Linked DNA regions of Drosophila melanogaster. Changing the gene in region 2 together with the main gene of any one other region gives a genetic interaction. Each region holds a gene or a part of one and is shown on either strand. Other genes may lie near its edges. The genes, in order: Pop2 and Tis11.

Evidence for each region.
Region 1: of Tis11 (region 2) and Pop2, changing one suppresses a phenotype caused by changing the other (phenotypic suppression), as found in Drosophila melanogaster (one study listed by BioGRID).

What each region holds. Positions count from the first base shown.
Region 1 is NT_037436.4:11,997,938-12,010,320, forward strand, and holds Pop2 (Pop2), read right to left. Parts: upstream 4,979-12,383; 5' UTR 4,658-4,978; coding exon 4,649-4,657; intron 3,995-4,648; exon of another isoform or gene 3,790-3,994; intron 3,265-3,789; exon of another isoform or gene 3,154-3,264; coding exon 2,813-3,153; intron 2,754-2,812; coding exon 2,018-2,753; 3' UTR 1,675-2,017; downstream 1-1,674. Other genes in the region: Grip163, read right to left, coding at 1-113; CG6928 (uncharacterized protein), read left to right, coding at 7,328-7,921, 7,980-8,255, 8,557-9,229, 9,284-9,463, 9,679-9,794; rols (rolling pebbles), read right to left, coding at 10,561-10,878, 10,942-12,383.
Region 2 is NC_004354.4:12,652,594-12,664,976, forward strand, and holds the start of Tis11 (Tis11 zinc finger protein), read left to right. Parts: upstream 1-6,821; 5' UTR 6,822-6,955; exon of another isoform or gene 6,956-7,940; 5' UTR 7,941-8,190; coding exon 8,191-8,274; intron 8,275-12,383. Other genes in the region: tomosyn, read left to right, coding at 1-71, 146-270, 354-610; CkIalpha (casein kinase ialpha), read left to right, coding at 2,645-2,723, 2,785-3,559, 3,741-3,900.

The DNA.
Region 1 (12,383 bases), on a different chromosome or scaffold from region 2:
GCCACCAGCACAGCTGTTTGTTTTTTTGGCTTCATCTCATCGGCCACCAGCATTGTGGCCATTTTGGTTACCAGGTCGAGGACGCTGTGATTGCATTCAGCCACAGTTGCCATCGATTTGGCTTTTAATACTCAAAAACTAAAAGATATTTTCCATAAACAAAACATAAGGACTAGGCTCGGTGTGACCGCACCACAGTTTCACAAAAATCCGACTATTGCTACTTCGGCGTATTTCCGTTATATTTTAAAAATACCTTTTATATGTTCATTAACCCACTATTGATTTTTAACCCTTGAAAATTTTGTTTTCATCTGTAGATATTGGGATTCTTGGTTTCTCTTGATTTGATATTTGATATTTGATATTTTTTTCTACAGGTTTTCGCCATCTTTTTTCTACTAAACCAAACATCTCGATTCGTATTCATACTTCAAATAAAAACACGTTTTCGAAATGTACACTAAATTAAAAAGTTTTAAATATATTGTTTTTTTGCTCTTTTTACAAATACACAATATTCTCTGTTTCGCTCATTGGCTTACAGTTTTAGCTTAATTTTACATACCTTAGTTTTGTATTCGTAACACATTTAAGACATGCAGAACTTGAAATTGAATCTATTTTAGTTTTGCCGGTTTTTCATTTCTATGCGATTTACAATTAGTTTATGCCATGTTTTCGTATTGAACGGTTGCCTATTCATCTGAACTTGCGTGGGAAACATCAAGAAGTTAGCTTTATGGCCAACGGGGTATAATTGTTCACAAATGGGAACGATCTGTGTCGACTGTCCACAGATTACTGCAATGGTGTTGTTACGGCTAGGATCAGTTGGCCAGGTGGTGTGGCCTGCACAGATGCCGACGGACCCGGTGATTCCTCCTGCTCGAACTTCCTGTCGTGCACGACCACGTTCCCCATCAGTACGAATCATGAAGCGCTGTTCGTCTCACCGTTGCTGTCGTGGAAGTTGGTGCCATTGACGATGAAGGAGGTACCCAGGCCGTACAGGTGTCCGGAGTACTTCGCATGGTCGATGTTGTCCTCGAAGAACATCTGCAAAGATTGTAAGTTTCATTAGGCAGGTACAGAACATTGGATCGTTTTTCGAATGGGACAGCACAAATGGGTTAGAAAGCAGTTTCTGGGTAAGTATGGTAATTATGGGATGTATCAATGCGAGCAACTTTAGTTGGGAGCTACAAAGCGTATAAAGCACACATATTTCTACGGCAGCAAAGTCTTAGAAAGTAATCCCAAGTAGATGGGTGGGTCCTACTTGTAGATAGGATTTGTTACATACCGCAGAACCGATGTGATTGGACGAGGTTTCAATATTAGTAAATTTCATATTTAATGAATGTTAGTATGGGATGGGATTTATTCTGCAATGTTCTTGTTATTTCAAAACTATTCGGCAGTTCTCTAGAAGATAAAGGTCTTGGTACGCTGATACACACAGTAAACCGTGTGGAAACATATGTCAGCAAAGCGCTTAAAATTACAAAAGAATAATTTGTTAATTCGATATAAATGAAGAGCGTGAACTTAACATAAATTAAAATGAACATCAATACAATTAAAAAGATGTCATATGAAATCAAGCAAGCTATGATATGCATATGCCATGCCCAAACACCAAAGAATGCAAATAAACATTTAAAGAAAATTAATTCCAATTCATTTAATTTTCCATTCGAATCCAGCGCGTTTCTCATTTCAATTCGTATCGCGGGCATTACAGCTAAATAAACATGTTTCACATGGGTTTAACAGCTCCAAACTAACTACTAAGAACACTTCAAATTATGGATTTCATTCATAAATTCTGGGTCACTGGCTCTGTAAATTGTGCAGGTCACAAAAAACTAAGTACATAGATGAGTTATGTATGAAAATGCGTTATGACAACCATGAAAAACCTTAAACCTAAGGAATAATGATTATGATGGGCGGAGGCACGTTACGTTAGCAGTGGCAAGTGCACGGCAACACCAGCGAGCGAGCTGTCTAATCATCCGAAGCTATTCGAAATAGACGTATGGCGATTGGACAGCGATGCGGCATCGCTCTTGGCCATGCCGGGCGTATTAGGAGGTGTAACCATGTAGGCGCTCGAGGTGAACTGCTCGGTGGAGTTGGTGTTGCCTGTGCCGTTGCCACTGCTGATTATCGCAGATTCGTCGGGGGCAGGGCCCCCATTGTATGCCGGACGGCTCAGCAGATGGATGCAGCTGATCGTCGGCTTTAAGTTCATGGTGTGCTCAAGCAGATAGCGAAAGAGTACATCGTGCGCCACCGGTGTAATGTGGAAATCATTTGTGTGCTGTACCTCACGCATTTTGAAGAAGGCCATGCCCGTCAGCAGAGCATCCGAGCCGGCCTGATGCTGGGGGCCCACGCGCCGCAGTTCCAGCTGATCGGCAACCTCCTGCAGGCCGCCTTTCAGGTTCTTGCACGACTTCATCAGATACTTGATGTCGAAGATGTTGGGAAAGTAGATGTGCAGCAGATCGAAAAATTCAGATTCGTCCGGGGGCAGGTTCTGATCGGTGAGCAGCTTTAGAAGGTAGCCAAAATCGTAGCCGGAGTGGAAGCACAGCCACTTGATGTTTTCCACCAGCACGATGCCAGAGCTCATCAGCAGTTCGGCGAAGTCGATGGGATCGATGCCATCCTCCTCGTGCTTCTTGAACTGAATTCCGGAGTTCTGCAGCAGATCGATCGAGTCCTGCGCATACATGTCCTCGCTAGGGAAACAAACGATAATATAGGACCCCCCATTAGAGCATAAACAAAACACTTTTACCTCAGGTTAAACTTGAAGTTGAACTGCCAGGTGGAGTAGCCGGGTGGTGTCTTTCCATCGTCGTCCATGAAGGTAAGGCCCAATTGGATAATCCGCAGCAGATCGACATTACAGCGCAGCAGCTGGTAATGATAGTCCGCCGTGGAGCGGAACTCGCCGACTGGACGTGCTACCACGCCTGGAAACTCGGTGTCCATGGCCACATAGTGGTACTTCTGCACCACTTTCCGTATGGTGCGGAACTCCTCCTCCAGGTTTTGCTTCCACACATCGCGGATGCCGCACTCCTCGTTGCTGGGTATGTGGGCATGTGGCGCGCCACTGATGGCCGAGGGCATTGTCTGGGAAAAGTATTGGTTGTGGGTCAAACTACTTGTAATGTATACATATTTCAGTGTATAAGTGTGTATATGTTTGTGTTTGTTTAGTCCTAATTTAAGATGTGAAATATTAGTTTTCGCCATCAATGCTATGATTAGTTGATCAAGTCCTATCATTTTATGAAGCATAGTAAATGCTCCACAATGCAGATTTATAAGGCACAAACAAACTGAAGAACGTTTTACAAACATTATGAAACCTTTGTTTATAATGATGGTTTACTAATTGTTGTTTATGGTGCTCAGTTTTCGAATTTGTTTAAACATCAGTGTAAGGTTACCGATATCGAATATTTCCATAGATAAGGACTAATCCCAGTGTCTTGTGTTTTTGTGTATTTATGTGGAGGTAAGAGTTAGCAACATAATAAAATAGCTGGTCCAATTGGTTAAGCACGATAGCGCAACTAAACAGGAGGTTCACAATTGAAGATTGGCCAATATCGATGTTAGAAGTGCACGAATTTTGCTGCTGATACGAGGAAACAACATAAAATAAAATCATATCGAAACAAGGCAAGTGAAGGTAACGATTTTTTGGAAATTTGCTTGGAGGTGGTTACTGGAGTGATTGGGTTTACGATGGCCGCTACTTACATCGTCGCCGGACGTCGCCTGGTGCGCACCCTTCGCCGCCGGATCAGCCACCTCTTCGCACTGACCTACAACCAAGCCTCAAGCAACAAGTTCCACCTGGATGTGTGGTCTTAAGCTCTGATTCGGGGGATCAATGCTCCTGATCGAATGCAGGGGTATCGGAATAATAATTCAATCTGCCTTTACAGGATTATACCTATTGCACCTATGATGTATCGCATGCATTAACACACCTTCAGATAACACTGGGCAAGTTATTTAAAGCTGATGCTGCAATTAGACAGCATTAACATGACTTAATTTCTAACTACAGTGTGAGAAACATTTCCCTCATTGTACACAGGTTATATTTAAGGTTTTGAAATATGCAGAAAAGTTCTCAATCGCTGCTCTACCCTTTATATGTTGTATTAATTAAGATTTGGTATGCTTTACCAATTATGAATATAAGGGCGTTTAACATAAAAATATGATTTTAAGTCACATCATAGCAAGTCAGAAATTTCCATACGTTTTTGAGCATTTGCAAGTGACACTGAAGATTTGAGGGTGTGAATTTCAATCCATTTCGAAATCGGATTCATAGTGCAGGCTGGGGGGGGGGGGGGGGGAAATCAGACAAACACGAAAAAGTGACTATTTGCGGAAAATGAAGAAACCGAAAATAAATAACAGTTAAAACGCCCTAAGAAAACTGCACACACTCGCACACACGCTCACATCACACCGCACACACACACACACACACACTTGCAGCGGCATTGAAGATGCATTTGCAATTGCAGTTCGTTTTCGATTTGCGCCGTGGAAACGCAAGGCTGTGGAAATGGACCCACTCGTGGTTACCCTCGCAGCTTACCCATTTCATAATATTTGATGGCCGACCGTGTAGGTTTCGGCTATTTGCACAAATTAAATGTTTCTATCGGCGTCGCTTGTTTTGCGGGGGGGTGATGGGGGAGAAAGCGGCGAGAAAATAGCTGTTATGGGGCACTTCCGCTTCCTGCACGGCGATCGTTTTAAGCGCACACTTCAATTGGCGGAGTCCTCTGCGTTCGGCAATAATTTCCAATGAATGTTTATCAGCGAATATCGTTTGTGAGCCGCGCAAGTGCCATAATAAAAAATTGTTCGCGATTGCGGCAGTGAGGGTAAACGTTCGCTCTTCGATTCAAGTGCTGGAAAACGTGTAATTGCTACAAATATCGATAGTTTGGCGACTTTAGTGGTGCCCATCTTTTGAATTTTTAGTTTCTGTTCATAAGCATAGTAATTAGAAATCTAAATTAACAAAAAAAAATGGGTTTTGTTGTATTTAAATATTAGGCACTCAGCCACTTAAGTGCTGCCAAGCCCTGCCTTTGACTCGCTATAGCAGCCGCCTAGAGGGCGCCAGGGAAACTATGAAAGTTGGTGAGCGATGGCAACACTAGACTTTCAGCTGTTCGCTGACAGTCAAACAAATATATTTATTTCAATTTCACCGGTAGAAGTGGTAGCTTTGTGATTTTTTAACTTTAATGTTAAGTGTTAAAAGTTGATACAAAAATATAGATCATAATAATCAAGTAAGAAATGTTACTGGATTTGTGGTTTTTCTTTTTACGTCTGTCCCACTTTCCTTTTAACTTGACCCATTTGTTGTTGCAAATTCTTGAGGAATTGGCTCGCGTTATAAATAAACAAACAATTGAATCAACTGTTTTCTCAGTTTGTTTACGTTTATACCAATACAGTGCAAAACTAGTTTTTTCACACATGCCAAATTAAAAAAAGAAAGCAAATAAGATAAATAAAGCTCGCCGTCTGTCAACAATCGGCAATTATGTTTATACATACATACATACATGTACGTACATCGGTACATAACGACTGATCTCTCCAATTATTTTGGTTTCGTGGACCCTCAAAGAACGGATTTCTCCAGTTTCTTCAAAGGGTTAATAAACTTTTCGCACGTTTCGCATTTTTATGCTCAATCCGGTTACAAAATGCTGATAAAACCACTTGAACTACACGTTTCCGTACTGATAAGGGCTTTTCTTCTTATCTGACCTCTGGAATTCAATAGTTTACCTACAAGGAAGGAAACTTTCTAGATTGTGTTGCAAAAATGTCAAATTTATTTAGTTTCTATTTTATATTTAAATATTTACAAACCGATCCAACAAGAACGTTCCATTTAAACCTCCCCTTTATAGGCGTTTTTAGAAAATCATTCTAGTCGCTCTAATCGGTCTGATTATTTTAAGATACATTATATTCATTACTTATTTCACAATGCTACCTAATAGTTCACTAAACGCTGTTAAATTGTTGACTGTCGATTGTATAAATCGCATTATCATTGCTTTGTGGAACTAATAGCAATTCTAAACTCGCCATTCTTTCCACAAGCGATTGGCAATATTTGCCATTGTGGCGTTTGCAAATGACATAACAAACAAACAATTTCGCCATAATTATTGGCTCTAAATTGAAAAGAATAGTTTGTAAACAAAGCGAAATTCAATTAAAGTGCACATTGTATCTCGTGCCTTCGGTCGAGCAATTTGATCACGTTTTAGGCGACCCGAACCAATACTTTCAACTTCGCCAGTTGTTCAGCTAATTGAGGTGGTCGTGTGATCACTGATCAGGAATTCTTCGTTCACGCGATCGTTTTTCAGTCTCTGGCCAGCAACCGAACCGAATTGATCTTCCCCAGAGCTCTCCGTTCTTTCTAGAATTCTAGAAGAATTCGAACCGAAAAGAACTCGCATTTCGAATGGAACGCGCCCTTCAAAACGACAACAACATCAAAACATTTGTTTAAATACGTGAGTTTTCAACCAAATTCAACGAATTGCGGTTAGATAGACTTTTTGGATTAGATTGTTTTAATTTGGATGGAATGCAATATTGTTAGTGAAGTGGAATAGCTCTGAGAAGAGCGAAACGTGTAATTTTAATTATTTTTAAATGTGGTAACAATCATTCCATAAATAGGTTTAGATGAATGCAATACTATGCGAAGATTGAGACAACTTATTTGTAATGCTTATAATAGCTTTGATTGCCTTTGGATTCTTGCTAATTTCTTTTGGCATTTCTATTCACTTTCAGTTCAAAAAAATGTAAAATAACGCAAACCTGTTTTCGGTTAGCTTTGTTTAATTTATACCATCTAGTTTACTCACTGAGCCATTTGTAATTCTGGCAGCTATTCTTTTTTATTTACCATAAACTCGTATTTCTTCTATTGTTTTGAGTTCTACGACGTTTATTTATGACTTGCTTATTGGTGATAAATAAGTTGATGTCTTTCTATCTTTTCGTCTGTCACGCAGACGTCTCATAATCAAATGTATAATTATGCGAAATTGGAAAAGTCGTTGAACCTGCGATCTTCAATATATACGACGTAATTCTATTTTAATCTTGTTGAATATTTTCAATTCCCTTTTTTTGGTAATGAGCTGGGAAGTATGTTCTTATGGCTCCAATACATTACTCATTCTTTTTTTTTTTTTGTATTTATCCCACAGAAATAGAAGCCATGAGCCTGAGGAAGTGGGGATACCGCCTGCTGCCGGGTCTAAAGTGGCTGCACGGTTATACTGGCCAAGATGCAGTTGCGGATCTGATAGCCGGAGTGACGGTCGGCCTGACGGTGTTGCCCCAAGGACTGGCCTACGCTACGCTGGCGGGACTGGAGCCCCAATATGGTCTGTACTCCGCCTTTGTGGGCGGTATTATATACGCCATGCTGGGCAGCTGCCGGCAGGTGACCATTGGACCCACGGCTTTGCTCGCACTGATGACAAGCCGGCACACGGGATTTGGACTGGGATCGGGTCCAGCGTACGCGATACTTTTGTGCCTCATCTCTGGTGTTGTGGAGCTGGGTATGGCAGTGCTGAAACTGGGTGCCCTGGTGGACCTGATATCACTGCCAGTTACCGTGGGATTCACCTCGGCCACCGCCGTCATCATTGGCACCTCGCAGCTAAAGGGTTTGCTGGGACTGCGTGGTGGATCCGGGTCTGATTTCATCAATACCATGCGCTCCGTGTTCGGAAATCTACACAAAGTTAGAACTGGTGATTTTACCCTTGGTTTGACTTCCATTATAGTTTTGCTACTTCTGCGGGTAAGAGAGTCTAAAATATCCTAAGAAACTACTTTATAAACCCATTCAATTCCCTTAGAAACTAAAAGACGTTAAGCTGGATGGTCGAATCCGGAACTTGCGAACACAGCAGCTTGTAAGTGGTAGCATCTGGGTAATAGGCACCGGTCGGAATGCGCTGGTCGTACTGGTGACCAGTGTGCTGGCCTACAGCACATGTGAGCAGATGGAGAGCTGCCCGTTCATCCTTACTGGAAAGGTCAAAAGCGGTCTGCCCAACGTTTCACTGCCAAAGTTTGAGACCACCATACTGGACAGGAATGGCACTGAGATCAGACAGAACTTTGAACAGATGGTATGTGGGCACAAGTAGACTAATTAGCTTTTTTTTGTCACCGAATTAATTTATCATCAAGCCAGTCTGCCTTTTCGTTGCTTTGTTTAAGATACCTTTTTCTTGTTTTAAATTGTCGCTCGGCTTTAGAATAAATTAAAATGAGTTTATTTGTATTCCGCCCTCTCTGGATTTTGTTCCAATTTTATAAAGTTAATTGCACCTTTTTAATGTAGATAAAAATAGAAAGGAGAATTCCACGATCGACCAACTTCCTGATAACCGAAGAACTTAACTATAATGTTTTTAATCTTTTTTTCAGCTCTCGGAACTGGGCCCTTCCATGCTAATCCTACCCATTATAGCTGTGCTTGGAAATGTAGCCATTTCGAAAGCCTTTGGAGGAGCTGGACTGAGTCCGACGCGGGAACTGGTTGCACTTTCCATGAGCAACATTTGTGGCGCGTTCTGCAGCTCCATGCCGGTGACAGGATCCTTCTCGCGCAGCGCTGTTAACCACGCCAGTGGAGTAAGGACGCCGCTTGGAGGCTGCTACACAAGCGTGCTGGTTCTGTTGGCACTCGGCCTCCTGGCACCTTATTTCCAGTACATCCCGAAGGCTGCTCTCAGTGCGGTTATCATCTCGGCGGTGATATTCATGATTGAGTTCGAGGTCATTAAGCCGCTGTGGCGGTGCAGCCGGCGGGAGCTGCTTCCAGGTGCCATTACATTCGTAATGAGTCTGGCTGTGGGCGTCGAGATCGGTCTTCTGCTGGGCGTGAGTACCGATGTGGCGTTTCTGGTTTACCGAGCCGCTCGACCCGTACTGAGTGTCTCCAAACTGCAAACCACCAATGGCATCAATTATATTCTGATTCGCCCTAAGCACAGTTCACTGTACTTCCCGGCAGTCGAATGGGTTCGTTCGGGCATCTCAAAAGCTCTGACCATTCATGGAACCGCACCTGTGGTCTTGGATTGCGCCCACGTGCATGGTATGATTTACGATTTACTTTTTGCTATAGGTTTTTAAATGTGCTGTCTTCCAGAATTCGATTTTACGGCAGCTCGCGGAATGGGCTCATTGCAAAAGGAGCTCGCCAAGGCGAATGCACCTTTGTTTCTGATGAGTGCGGACAAGACTATTGGTGTGATCCTCAAGGAGTCGACTAATATTGATTTCCCCACGATAGACTGCCCCGATGATCTGGAATTCCTTTTGGAGCAAAGTGAGAGGAGTTTTTAGTAGAATATTCATTTACACGTATCATTAGCGCTACTAAAAATCTCACGCTTTTCGTTTCCTCCGCTTTCATCCACAGCTTGTTCCCATGTTTGATTACTCCCAAAACAACATGCCACATCTAGCACATTTCTATTTATTTATTTCCATGTAGTCTTCCCACTTTAAGCTCTTGGCGTAACTGAAACTTTGTTCTTCCAGCTGCCGACTACGTTCTGCATTTGCAGATTTCAGCACCGCTCGTCGAGTCCCGCTTGGTACATGGCGATAGTGGCGAACCAACTGAACTGAGTAAACTTAATGGAAAATCTTCGTAGATAAAAGAGAACTACCATTGTTAATTTTATATGTACTTAAGTATACGTTGGAACACACAACTTATTTATGGAAAGTTCACTCTCATGCTAGTATACAAATTAGCATTTAAAGCTCTCTAAACTTCCTATTTATTAATCTTAAATACGCCCACATTTCATTTCAAACTATTTCATTCCTATGTTTTATTCTCCCCCGAAATGTTTAAGCTTTAATTGTACATACACACACATATATATAAGTTCACATAATTGTTTTAAATTTTGTTCATAAATTTAAATACTCTTAAATGTGAAAATTTGTAATATATTCTGCAAACGTTAAAATGTTTCCCAGTTATTTCAACTCCCTTGCCGTTGTTCAACAATGTTTTATTTAAAAACAGCTCAAAACTATGCACTAATAAGTTAAAGAATGTTTTATAATCTTAGCCCAGAGTGCCCGAGCCTACCCCCAAAAGTCTGCATCGAATATCAAAATAATAATGTGTTTATTAAATCTTAAAAGAATTCGCATTTATTTAATATTCGTTATGGATAAGAACTGATGCCTATGCTAAATCAGAGTATAAAACTAATTTTTACATGCGCAGACACAATTAAAAAGAAAATTTAAAAACAAATTACAATGATAGTTTCAGTTGGTTTAAATTAAAAACATTCGAAGGCAATAAATAGCAAAAATTAAGGTCTAGGGTAGCTCTTAAGTAGGAATAGCGATTAATTCGAAGGGTATACGACGAGTACAACAATACACAACAATCGACATTTACAAATCGGTGATCTCATGATGAGATTCGTATGCGACGGATGCCCCGCCGCCGATATTCGACATCCTGCCGGTCTGATCCTCGCTGCTGATGCTGATCCGCGTGAGCAGCTCGGTCTGGATGCGCTTCAGCACCTCGACCACTTCGCAGAGCACACCGCTTTGGGCGGCCTGCTGCATCGCCTCATTGGCGTCCACAAGTGCTTCATTCAATGCACCAAGTTCCATGCGCGCCTTTGCCCTGGCGTAGTATCCTTCGTAGCTGTGCGGCTTCTGGGCAATCGCTTGCGTGGCCAAATCTATGGAGGCGTCAAGTTCCTGCGAATTACAGATATGGTTAGTCAAATATCCAGATGTCAACTCATATTTTTGGGTACTTACATTCAGTTTTCGCTTGCAGCGCGACAGATTCAGCAGAAGATTGGTCCGCAGCTGGGCGAAGATGGCATTCCTTTCGAGCAACTGCTCCAGTCCGGAGATCTTGCGTAGGGCATACTGATAGCGATGAGCAGCCTCCTGGAAGCGGTTTTTCCGGTACAGCACATTACCGTCCTCGAGCAGCTTGTTCAGTAGTATGACCAGAATCTCCGGCTTGCCCATGGCCATGCTCCAAGTGGTCGGTCCCAGTTTGGCCCCCTTGCGCAGGAACACCTGTACGGCCTGGATGTTACGGCAGGCAATGGCCCGATCCAGGGGACGCATTCCATGAACATCAATGTGTTCCAGATTGCCGCCCTGCTCCAGGATATAGATCACCAGGCTAGCGGCTCCCTGATAGGCTGCCAGATCCAGGGCTGTGCGTCCATTGTGATCCTCGTGGTGGCGATTACAGCCATGTTCTATGAGCGTCTTGGCCGCCGCCAAGTGGCCACGTAAACAGGCCCAGCTGAGTGCAGTGAATCCCTCGTGATCCTGAGCTTCTCGTTGCGCTCCCCGCGCCAGCAGCAGATCGACCAGCTCCAGGTGTCCCTCCTCCGCCGCAATCATTAGCGGCGTCTTGCGTGTCTGTCCCAATGGTTCATCCAACAGGGCACCACGTTGCAGCAGATGCTCCACCACACTCCAGTGACCCTCCTTGACAGCCAACCAAAGCGCCGAGTATCCCTGCCGATTTCTTGCATCGATCTGAGCGCCACGGGAGAGCAAGATTCCTACAACATCAATGCATCCGTGCCGTGCGGCGGCGGTTAGCGCCAGTTCACCACTGCTTGGCTCCATGCCATTCACGTCCAGGTCAAACTCGGTCTCATTGAGATCCAGAAGATCCTCAAGGATCTTGCAGTGCGCCTGTGCGGCAGCTCCAATGAGCGCCTGTTGCAAGGCAACCGATCTGGTGACATCTTGGGAGTGCGGTCGTGGTGACCAGTCGCAGGCGAGCAAGTACTTGACCACACTGAGGTGACCCATGCGGGCGGCATGAACTAGGGCACAGCGCTGCGTGATGTCCAACTGACCGAGGCTGCTGCCGGCGGCTACCAATGGACGCACTACGTCGCAGTGGCCACGCATGGCGGCCAGTATTAATGGAGTACAGCCCTGGCTGTTGGTCAGACCGACATCGGCACCGAATTCTAGGAGCAGGCTAACCATGGGAAGGATTCCCTCATGCGCAGCTATGCAAAGGATCGGAGCTCCACCCATGTAATCCGTGCGGTGATTCGGTGAAGCTCCTGCCAAGAGAACTAGTCGGGAAACCTTTAGGTTCGGACTGTAGACATTTCGCAGGGCGCCCAGCGAGGATGAAATGTTATCCGCCGCTCCCGCCAACCAATAAGATTGCAAATCCCGCGGAGAAAGCAGCGTCAGACTAGTTCCTCCGTATA
Region 2 (12,383 bases):
CATAAAGGTCATGGATTGTACATGGCATCGCCCACCGAAATTCAAAAATTCACGATATCATCGGAATTTTGGTAAACCAAAACAAACATAATTCATTGTACTTTAAACATTGCATATTAATTTGTAATTCTTTCCCTTATTCAAGTCAATTTATTTTGGAGATGATGGGTGAACTATATACGGTACACGAAATGCCCGAACAGCCGAAGGAGGGTTTCTTCAAGGGTCTATTTGGTGGTGGCGCCAAACTCCTGGATCGCGAGGAGCTATGTGAGTAGATCTGCATCAGATCTGCATGTCGTTACCATCGATCATTTCAATAATCCGTACAATTCCTATCCCTATCCTTGCAGTTGGCGAGCAGAGCGGGAAACCGAATCGATCGGTGGCACGGCACATACCCGGCCCCAATTTGGAGCAGCTCGGCCAGAGGGCTTCCACCGCCGCATCGGAGATCAGCCGGGCGCACCAGCTGGCCATGGAGCGCGGCGAGAAGCTAAATTTGCTGGAGGAGCGCGCCGAGCGCATGGCCAACACTGCTCAAGATTTCAGCGGCACTGCGCATCAATTAATGCTTAAATATAAAGACAAGAAGTGGTATCAGTTGTAAAATATCTATTTTAGGAGCCAATTCTACCACAGTTATTGTAATATTGCTTTTATAACACTTTCTACTACATTACGAGTAAAGTACACTTATTTAATTTCTGTTTTCAAGTCGTCACGTTATTTACAAAAACCGAAAACCAACAAAAAAAAACAACAAAAACCGAAAATTCACAAAAACAAAAAAACTGAAAGAGAAAACCCAACCAAAAAAAAACTGTTTTTAATAAAAATATATAGACCAAAAAACAGGCACTGTGGAGTCTTAATGTATTCATGAATATTGTGGGTTATTAAAGTATTTTTAATTTGATTTCTTTGTTTCACATGTTTTATACGCTCGAACAAAGTGGGTGCTGCTTTCAATCGTTCTTTATAGTAACATCAACTCTGAGTAGACTTTAGTATCAGATTCGAACATAACAGCAGCACACGAGTGAAAAGTGTTTTCTGTTCCCCATTTGAATTATCCGCGCAGTGTTGTGTCAGTGCTGAAAATCGCCGCAGAGTCGCGAAGTCAATTTCAATCCGATAGTTTAGCAGTGTGCCACGGTGAAGTATCGTTTCTCGTTCATACCTATCTGAGCGTATCGTTCCACGATATCAGGTGGCAGTGTTTGGTTGAACCTATCGGGCCCTATCGATATAAGCAAAAGCATTTTTGCTGGATCTACCATTTTATTTTAGTTAATAAAATACATATATTTCCTCTCTTTTTGTTCCGTTTGTGCGCGTACAAAACTAGCTGCGAACTCGTGCAATATTTCATAAACTGAATGGGAAAACAACGATAACGACGAAAGAAAACGAAAACGGATCTGCGACGAAATTTTCCCCGTTCCGTTTTTTTTTCTCCACCAGCAGCAGAAGCAGCAGAGCAAAAGCAGCGAATATATTTGTAAAAGAGAGCCCCAACCTTGAGAAAAAACAACCAGCAGGGCAATAATTAGTTGAATTTATCGTCTGCTGGTAAGAAATGAACCCAAATGTGAACTTAGACCGTTTGATTTCCGCGAGGATCCATCATTTTTTCACCCATTTCGTCCAGTTTCAAATGCGTGCTAAATATGCTAACGTGTGTGTGTGTGTGATGGGTCTTCGATGGTGTGCGTGTCTCGCTGTGCGCTTCAATGTGTTGGTCTGCTTCTCACACTCTGCGTTCGTGTGTGTGTGTATATGTGTGCCTTCGAAATTTTCTTTTGTGTAAAACATTTGTAAGGTGCAACTGCAGCTGTGTGCGTGTGTGTGTATCGCTTTGACTGCCGTTGTTGTTTTTGTTGTTGTGCGTCATAGCAATGAGTGTGTGTGTGTGTGTAATATGCATTCCAACGGGGTAAGAAAGAAGAGGAAGCAGTACCTGTCGCCAATAAATATCGTATATCGATGTCTGTCTGTGTTTATTTAGAATTTCCCTTCAGCCCGCCCCCGTGCAAAAGGAAATATTGCTCCTCCTTCACCTCCATCACCTCAAGTAGGGATCAAGTGTAATCGATAATGCAGACATATCGATTGGTCCGTTGAGAAACATCAGAAAAACACGTAAAGTGCAAGCTGGAAAAGAAAAGCAAAACAAATTCCGGAGAGCAGAAAGAGAGGTGGAAAAGAAAGTGTTGAGAAAGGGATGACAGCAAAAAGAGGCTCTGGTGATATTAGTTAAATGTCAGCTGGTCTGTAAATCGTCGCGACATTTTGTGTTGGGGCAACTATTCAAAACTTTCCCAAAAACACTGTGAAACAACTCTAGAGAAGATACCACTCATTTTTCTTAAGGTTAAAATATAAAACAGTACACGATTACATTTTCTGGGATCCGCAAAACTGTTCGTTTTGTAATAGGTCCCTTTGTAGTATTAGAGTAATATAGTTGTTTAGATGAAGGGTGTTCAAGTGTCAGAATGATAATTAGTAACTCCTAGCGTTTAGTTCTTAACTTAATATATACAAAACATATAATGTTCCCAACCCATGCAGTTTTTCAAGTGAACGCGTCCAACTGTTTTTGAAGCGAAGCGCTTAGGCGGAGGAGCAGCTAGCCAGGATGGACAAGATGCGGATATTGAAGGAAAGTCGCCCCGAGATAATCGTCGGTGGCAAATATCGGGTGATCAGGAAGATTGGTAATTCAGCCGTGCGATTTTATCCCCACAATATTCTCTAATCTCTGAAAATTATTCACAGGAAGCGGATCGTTTGGCGACATTTACCTGGGCATGAGCATCCAGAGCGGCGAAGAAGTGGCCATCAAGATGGAGAGCGCCCACGCCCGCCATCCGCAGCTGTTGTACGAGGCCAAGCTGTACCGCATTCTGAGCGGCGGCGTTGGATTCCCTCGTATACGTCACCATGGCAAGGAAAAGAACTTCAACACCCTGGTCATGGACCTGCTGGGACCCTCGCTGGAGGATCTGTTCAATTTCTGTACGCGCCATTTCACAATCAAAACGGTTCTGATGCTCGTCGACCAGATGATCGGACGCTTGGAGTACATCCATCTCAAGTGCTTCATCCATCGCGACATCAAGCCGGATAACTTCCTAATGGGCATTGGTCGGCACTGCAATAAGCTGTTCCTGATCGATTTCGGTCTGGCCAAGAAGTTCCGCGATCCGCACACGCGCCATCACATCGTTTACCGCGAGGACAAGAACCTCACCGGCACTGCCCGCTATGCCTCGATCAATGCCCATCTGGGCATCGAGCAGTCGCGGCGTGACGACATGGAATCGCTTGGATACGTGATGATGTACTTCAATCGCGGCGTACTGCCATGGCAAGGCATGAAGGCCAACACCAAGCAGCAGAAATACGAGAAGATCTCCGAAAAGAAGATGTCCACGCCCATCGAGGTCCTCTGCAAGGGCTCGCCGGCCGAGTTCTCCATGTATCTGAACTATTGTCGTAGCCTGCGCTTCGAGGAGCAGCCAGATTACATGTACCTACGTCAATTGTTCCGGTGAGTACGATTAAATCATATATTGCATACGAATCTTAAGATTACACCCGATTGTTTTTGTGATAATGTTTGTGGTGATAATCATTGTGGAGGCTGTATTCGATATGTGTTTAGGTCATAGTTTTCTTGTTTTTTTTTTTTAATTCGAAATGATGTAACCCCAACTTTCTCTTTAATACAGCATACTGTTCAGAACGCTGAACCATCAGTATGACTACATCTACGACTGGACAATGCTGAAGCAGAAGACCCATCAGGGTCAACCCAATCCAGCTATACTCTTGGAGCAATTGGACAAGGACAAGGAGAAGCAGAACGGCAAGCCCCTGATCGCGGACTAAGAGCTGCAGCGCATTCAGACGAATGGGGGGAGTGCATCAGAGAAGGAGAACGTGGATGCGTGGATGTAAATGACGTTGATGTGGGCGAAAGGCCCGGCAAGGAGCGGAGCAAATATGAAACAGACGCAACCGTAAAATTGAGTAACACCAGCGGTCGTCCGAATGTTTCTTAATATTAATTTAAATTCAATACTAAACAAATAAGGAACCACAAACAAGCAAGCAACGGCATCATCAGCAGGGCATATAAAATGATACCCCAGCAAATGTGATTCACGAGTGAATCACTGCGATCGATAATAACATAAACCGAAATTATTGCAAATCAATACGATTTAAACTAATTTGCAATCCATACACAAATCAACATACTTGCATAACACACCCACACACACACATACATACACACACTCACCCACTCTCATCCACCCACTCAAAAAGCAAACATCATTGCCCAAAAGGGGGAGAAAAAAGAAAAGAAGAGAGAAGAAGAAAAGAAGAGGAAAGAAATCAACAACACTTAGCCTAATAAATTACAAGAAATAATATTGGTAGAGTTGGAGGAACAAAATGAAGTAATGCTGAGGAAACTAAACCTATATATATATGTATATGTATATATGTAAGCGAATAAACACAACACCATATATGTATGCATATACCCATTTGATTCACGTCAAATCGAATCCAATGCTTAATTATGAATCGAGCGAAACAAAACTCAATAACTAATTAAAATGGAATAAATAAGAAACAAAACAGCAACAAGCAAACAACAACACAAAAAAACAACAAACAAATAAGAATAAACAATAAAAAAAAATTAATAAAACACACCGAGAAAAGCAAACAAAAAAAATATAGTGGAGGATGCGGAGGAGAAACAACCAAGCAAAGCCAACTGAGATGGGGGAAAATATAAAATAAAAGCAGCAACAAGAGTAAAACAAGCAAATAATAATTATAATGAAGAAAGAAAAAGAAGAAAACAGACCGCAAAACTGCAAAGTAATTTTGCATAGTACGCCGTAATAATTATAAATATAACTTATATTTAATTTTTTGAATTACATCAATAAATATGTTGAAATTAAATTTCGACTCGGCGCTGTTCACATCTGCATTAGATAGAGATGGGGGCATACGAAAGGGAAAGAAGTGCATTCAAATATATTTATTGTTGTAATATACGTCATTGTTTATTAGCGATTAGCTCTATTGGTTAATAATCTTTTTTAAAATTGTAGCATGTAATTAGTTTTTTTATTATACTATATTAAATTTACATAAAAATTGTATATTCATATATATATATATATGCATACGTTTTATTTGAGCCCCAACATTTAATTTCCCCCATAAGTGCTTTGTATCTAAAGTTGTATTCGTTTCAGCTGAAATTAAAATTTAGTTGAAATTAAAGATGCTTTTATATATTTAAATTAATCACAAAAAAATGCCTGTGTTTTTCAGATCTTGCGTTCAGTCATTAATAATGCATTTTAGTTATGAAAACTTGAACGTGACATAAAAACATTTCATTGTCACATTGGTTTATGGTTTATGGTTTATGGTTTATGGTTTGTTTATTTAAATTTGTACTGCTACTATTGATATCATCTAGTAGATTGCATAGCTGGTAGTTAGCAAAATATTCTGAAGAGATGAGAAAAAAAACGTAGAATCTTTGTAGAGAAAGTTGTCAATATTTTAAATTACGTTTATATTTAATGGAATGGTTATCTGCGATACTGTAATGGATGGTACAGGGGGGCGCAGCGTTAATCATCTTTCTTTAAAGTATTTTCCATAATGCCTCCAAAAATCGATTCGTAATGTTTTTTCACTTTCAGGTGGTCTTTCTTAAGATCCAAAACGAATTTAGCAGCTGACGTCTTTTGCAACCCGACTGTGAAATACATTTATTTATTAGACCCTCTTAATTTCTTTGTTTATTCGTCATTGTTGACCAATGACACGTACGCGGTCCGTCTGTGTGTGAGAATGTGCTTTTTATTATTTATTAACTTTATGGGATGTCCACTGCACTACTGACCCATTCCAATCAGCACCCCGTTTGCAAGCAGAAGGCGCTGATTGGAAAACACCAATTGCAGTGCAATTGCTGATAAGAACATTTAAAGTTCTGATTGAATAGTAAAAGAGCAAAAACGAAGCGCAACATTTATCAATTCGTCTCTTTAGTTTGACAAGAGATCTTAAAACATTTGCTATTTATAATTTTACATTTATAAATAACTTATTGCAGGATAACTCCTGAGAACATTGTCATTATTTTATCATTACATTCCTAAAAAGCTAACATGGGGAAAAATACAAATGAAATTTAAACTATGGCGCTTGTTTTGATACTGCGATTTAGATGGCTGCCACATAGTTTGACTTTGCCACCCGTGGAGCTGAAGTGACTGGAAATATATCTTTAACAACTTAAAGTTGCCTAACTAGTGCAATTATGCGCTTCAATAATGTTTTAAAAATAGTAGAAATTGGGACAGCGCTGCCAATAACTTCGAAAATTTAAAGGCAATCCAGTGGCACCACTGGCAAGCGAGTAGGTACAGGTGGCACCTCTACCAGTCGAGTTTGCACAGGTGGCACCACTAGCAAGCGAGTTGGCTCGATTAATGTTACTTGATTTACTATCGACTATGCTACTTGATTTAAAGGTATTATATGAAAAAACTTTCATTTCAAGTTTGAAGCATTTTTTCTTTTAGCTAGGTAAAAACTAACCGACTACAGAATAACCATTTACATATCTTAGACTCAAACGCTCTGACAAAAGAGCGCCTAACGGGAGGCCAAATGCCGTTCACCAAAAAGCATATATGACGTGGGCATTTTTCGGCTGACTCGCGGCTGGTCACACTGCCGGGCAACCGAATCGAAAAAACGGCGATTCGACATTTTTGTGCGAGTGTAAGGTTCGATTCCGATCTGGCTGGTTGTCTGACGGACGTGCTGCGTCTATTTTGTTGTGTTTTTTTGCGAACGAGCGAAGAGCGACAGGACCTCTGCGCCCGTATTCAAAGTAATAAGCGATTCGATAGCCAAATTAAAATTGTGTGCTTGTTTCTCGTGTATCTTGTGGTGTTTGTGCGATCCAAATCGAGTGGTCAACTTACATTCCCTTTCATCCTTTTCGTGGTTTATTTTTTTTTGCAAGTGCCGGAAAAATTCGAATTGGTTGTTCATCAATATACAACAGTTAACTGTATAGTAAAGTAAGAAATGGTCCACTGTTGTCGTTGTTTTTAAAAGGTGTAAAGTAAGAGTAAATGAATATAAAAGGCGCAACGAGAATTTCTTGAATCATGTTCAAATAAGCATAAGCAAGCATTCGATTAATTTACATGCGCGCATGTGTGCAATCCCAAGGACTTTGGGAACAAGAAGAACCGCGCGCACAAGGAGCATGCGAAGCAACAGGGAAAAATCATAAACGACAGAAATTGCTGCCCTTTTATTTGATTTTTGTGTTATGTTTTTTTTTTTGATGATTTTGAGTTCGCTGTCGCAGCAATAATATAAGAATTACAAACACACAGACGCAAGTGATATACGACCACCACTAGAGATCGCACACACACACGCAACACTTAGGCACACATAGGGAGATAGAGTGAGAGAAGGAGGAAAGGAAGGACGGAAAGGAAGGGACGAAGCGCAAGCTTATCTTTTCGCTTTTCGAGAACGCGAACGAAGACGATAAAAGCAAAGCAAACAACGCACACACGTAAATAAAACAGACATCGGCTGTTTAACAAACACACACATGTGTATATCAAAAAAGGGACAAAGCAAAGCGAAGAATATCAGCCTTTGGTTCTTCTTTCCTTTGCACATGTGCCTGGAAAATATCCTTACGAACACACTCCCATACGCATACGCATACGAACGACAAGCACGTGAAATTTTTGTTCCCTTGCTCTTTGCCCTTCTCTCTTCTGCCCTCGTGCATCGCTCTCTCACTTCCATTATTCGTCGCTAATCAAACGCTCTCTTCACTCTTTTAGCTGATTTTTTTTTATTGTTGCAATGCAATATTCGCGGAACGAATAACAACAACATACATAACTCAATATTCAAGTGCAAAGCAAATACAAATCAAACACAAAAGAAAAAGCAACGAAATAAAGATATATAGAAAAGAAAAACAAAACGAAAAAATTCGCACATTTTTTCTGTCTTGTCCAGTGGAAAATACAACAAATAAACAACAACGGCTAAATCAAGTTAACAATCTGTTCAAAACCAATCAACAAAATGTCTGCTGATATTCTGCAGAAATCAAGAGAGCAGGATGATTCGCACTACTTCGAGCGTGGCGATATATCCAAATACGTAACGGTAAGTTTCCCAAAATTCTCAAAAACTACGTTTTCCTCCGTTTTTAACTGTTCGGTCATTATATTCTTGTTCTTGTGTTTTTTTTTTCTCAAAATTCGGTATTGTTTAAAGTGTTATTTTTCAAGATGTGGTTTTACCCAGAGTTATGAATGAAATTGAATAAATATGCCATGACTAATTTACAAAACTAATTCAATAGGTCTCTTATGTTGTTTTTATATTGCATGCAGATGTGCGCATATGCATTTTTGTCTTGGTATTTGGGCTTCCAAGAAATTTAGTAAAACTCAAATTGCTAATTCACTAAAAAAAAAAGTCAAGCACTTGGTAAGCAAAATTAGAGAAGCTCCATATAGATTGAGTGAAAAGAAAACTTAAAATATTTTCCAGTCAACTTAAAACATGCCTAAACCACATGTTTTTTTTTGGTTTATTCATTTCGGCAGTTGCATTTTGCGCCGCATTTGTGTCGCATTGTTAAAGGCAATATGTGCATCGTTTGCTTAATTTCGATAACTTGTTTTCCATTTTTCACTTCGTTATATTTCCGTTTTGTTACACTTGTATTTGTTGTTTGTTATTCCCCATTATAAAGCTGATTCATAATTATACTTTCGGTTTGTCAACTCACAAAAAACAGCAACAAATAGAGAGTGTGTGTGTGTGATGGTGGTGAAAAATGAAAATAAGCGACAGACTATAAAGTGGACTAAATAATTCTCTGATAAGGATTTGTGATAAGTGTATTGGAGAAGGGGGCGGGGCATCCTTGCATATCACTCTCTCCCACCCGCTCTTTCTCCCTCTCGATCCGCTCCCTTACGCTGTGCACCTTCTCTTTTTGTCCCTTCTCTTCGTATTTATTTGTTACAATTGGCGTCATCGCAGCAGCATCATTAAAAGCAGCAGCAACAACAGCAATAACACCACTCGTGATCATTTACTGTTTGTATATACATACGTATGTATGTGTGTGGTGCATGTGTGCGTGTTGCTGGCAGCGACGTTGGCAGCGCAGCTGTTGATCGACAACAAATTCGATTAACTCAAGTTCCGGGTTTGCTTTGGATGGATTTTTGTGTTTTTAATGATTTCTGTTGTTTTATTTATACATATTATTTCGTTCATTTGTTTTTTTTGGGTTTATTGATTGCTCTCGGATGAGTTAAGTTTTTAATATTTTTTTTATGTTCAAAAGCTCTGCTGCAGCGATTACGTGAAAAGTTTTGCGGTTTTTCGTGTAAAAACGAGAGGGGAGCAAAGTAAGAGACAGATGGAGCAGTGTTGGGCTCACTTTTGTTTTGATTTTCTTGTTCTTGTGCCTGCGCTTTTTTTTCGCAAATTTGCGTAAACTAAAATGCAAAGCCAAAGGGTCAAGTAGAGTCATAGAAAGGAAAAAATAACATTGAGCAAGGAGAAAAACAACAAACATAATAAAAATAGGGCCAAGCCAGGTTGACGTCCGATAAAGTTGCAAATGCTTGTTGAATGAACTTTGCAATCGATTATCGATAGGCAATCAGCAACGATTCGCACTGAAAATTGTTTGATATATTTTTGTTGTCATTATGCAGCAGTTTTTAGCCACAAAGGCAACAACAAATTGCTGCAGAAAGCGAAAGGGCACCACAAACACTTTCAAGCAAACACAGGCAAATAGGAAATGCTGCCGCGCAACTTTTTTATTAGGCGACAAAATTGTTGCAACTCCTTCTTTGCAACTCTTTTATAAGATTATGAAAGATATTTGCATAAGGAAATTATATTTTTTAAATCAATTTCATTTTTTAACTCGTCTTTGTTTCGGCTATAAGTTAAAATATGAACGAAAAACAATAATGTCACAATCTTTGCTTTTGAATTTATAAAAACATTTTGGTTTTGGCTTTTGTTACATTTACTGCGCCACTTCGTTCGGGAATGTGCACTGAGAAGAGGTAGGCGGTGGAGAAGAGAAAGGGTGGAAGGGGAGAATGGAGAATGAAGTGCCGAAAGAGAAGAGAAGGGAGCAGCGCCAACTTTGAAATTCACTTTTTCGCATAACTTTTAATTTCTCGTTTTCTTGGTTTCGTCTTGATTTTATTATGAAATTTATATGCATGTACATTGTATTACCATGTGATATGCAGTTAAATGCAGTTTGCAGTGAAACCTCGATAAAAGATGTATATTAAAACTCTGCTCTTATTTTAGCAAGAGTATTATTTGACTTCTTATATAAATCTTAAATCTATTTTACTACAATGCCCTTGTTTCCTAAATCAATTATTATTATTCGTATTTTATTTTATTATCCATATTTAAATGAAGGTTTAGTCAAGTAGTAGCTGTGTAGCGTGTGACCACTGTAGTGTGTCTCGTCGGTTTGCTTGGTTTGTGTTTTTTTTTTTGTATGTCGGCTTCTCCGTTTTCAGGCTGAAAAGTAAAATGTGTAAAATGTGCTTAGTTTGTTATATCGAAATTCCCGTACGTAATCAGCGGTATTGCGTTTCAGCAAACTCCCCCTCCTCTGCTCTTTGCCCAACTCCTCTGCACTCCTCCATCCAGCCGTTTCCCCCGGCCCGCTCTCAGCGCTACCCTCTCCTGCTGAGAAGAGGCTCACTTACACTTGCAGAGCGACAAACGGCGACTACTTTTTACGAATATAATTCCATTTCCTGCCAAGGCGATAACAACAACGTCGTCGTTTTATTTTGATCTGTGTGTTTTTCTCTCCTCCTCCCTCTTCTTCTTCGTCTGGGCTGCTTCTTCTTCTTGTGCGATGTGTGTTTGTCCCGACGCCATTGCTGCGCGAAGAAGACGAAGAAGAAGAGCAATCAGATCGGCGGGGGAGAAGGCGAAGTAGTAGGAGTTCAAGGAGGAGAAGGAGGAGGAGCAAAGAGCGAGTGTAGCGACCACCACCGCTACCTACCTAAACAAAAAAGGCAACTCTTCAATTTTCAATCCTCACCCTTCTCCATTATATCTGCCCCCCACCTCTGCTCCTTCTTCGTTAACCCTCAACTCCGCCGAACGTCATTTCATTTCGATCCGATCCGAACCGAACCGACTCGACTCGATTAATAGCCCCATCCCTAAAGTCCAGGTCCAATACCGCATGAGCCCATATACCCATTCCAAACGAACCGATTCGAAATCGCAGGCTCAAGTCCCCGATCCGCTCGCTCTGTCTCTTTTACTCACTCACCCACACTGGCGCACATTGCAAGCGCAGCGACAGTGTTGCCAGACATAACTTATATTGAAATTTGCTTGAAACATCTATAAGTTAGATACATATTCTGCTATGCATTAAAAACGGACTGTGCACATATACATACATATGTACATATGTGGTTCTTTTGACATTTTAAGCTCGCAATGTTTTTGAAAAGATGTCTTAACGTCTTCCGAAAGAAGCTAAAAGTACACCTGCTAACTGTAAGAACTGAAATCGTTTTCAATAGAACTTGACTATATGAAGGCATTAAGTGTATAGGTTTGTTCCTGTGATATGTTTTCTAGAACATGCACCTGCTGTTGCCTAGAATTCTGGCAGTTTCCTATTGAACCTGGCTATAAAAAGGCTAAAGTGAGCATATCAACTAAACTCACTACCCAACAGGGCACTTAAACTCATGAAAACGCACATGAGGACATGAGGCCGGGGCAGCAACAACAACTAAAGTAATAAGTACAACAGCAACAACAACAACAATAACACATTGTCAGCATATTGACTGGCTGACCCTTGAGATACCCTTGGAGTGGAAGCGAGAGGTAAATGGTTGAAGAGGGGGGGGATTCTCAGTTCGTCAAGAGTTTATTAGTCGATGGGGGTTGAAATTGAGGATCACCGCTACTGATTTTCCATCTACAACTAAACGTACATATAGAAAACAATACAAAGCAAATCCGTTCTACTTGTTTTTATTCGGACTTTTAAAGAAATTGTTGGTTAAATGTGAAACAAGTGTAAATATAGAATAGATTTTAAAATACATACGCCACAATGTAATATTCGCTTAAATTGAGCTGTTCGTAATTCTTTGTTGCTGCCGCTTCGATGAAAATAAATTATGAATAAGTTATTTGCGTGCGAAGCTACTGACTGCTTATTATTATTATTA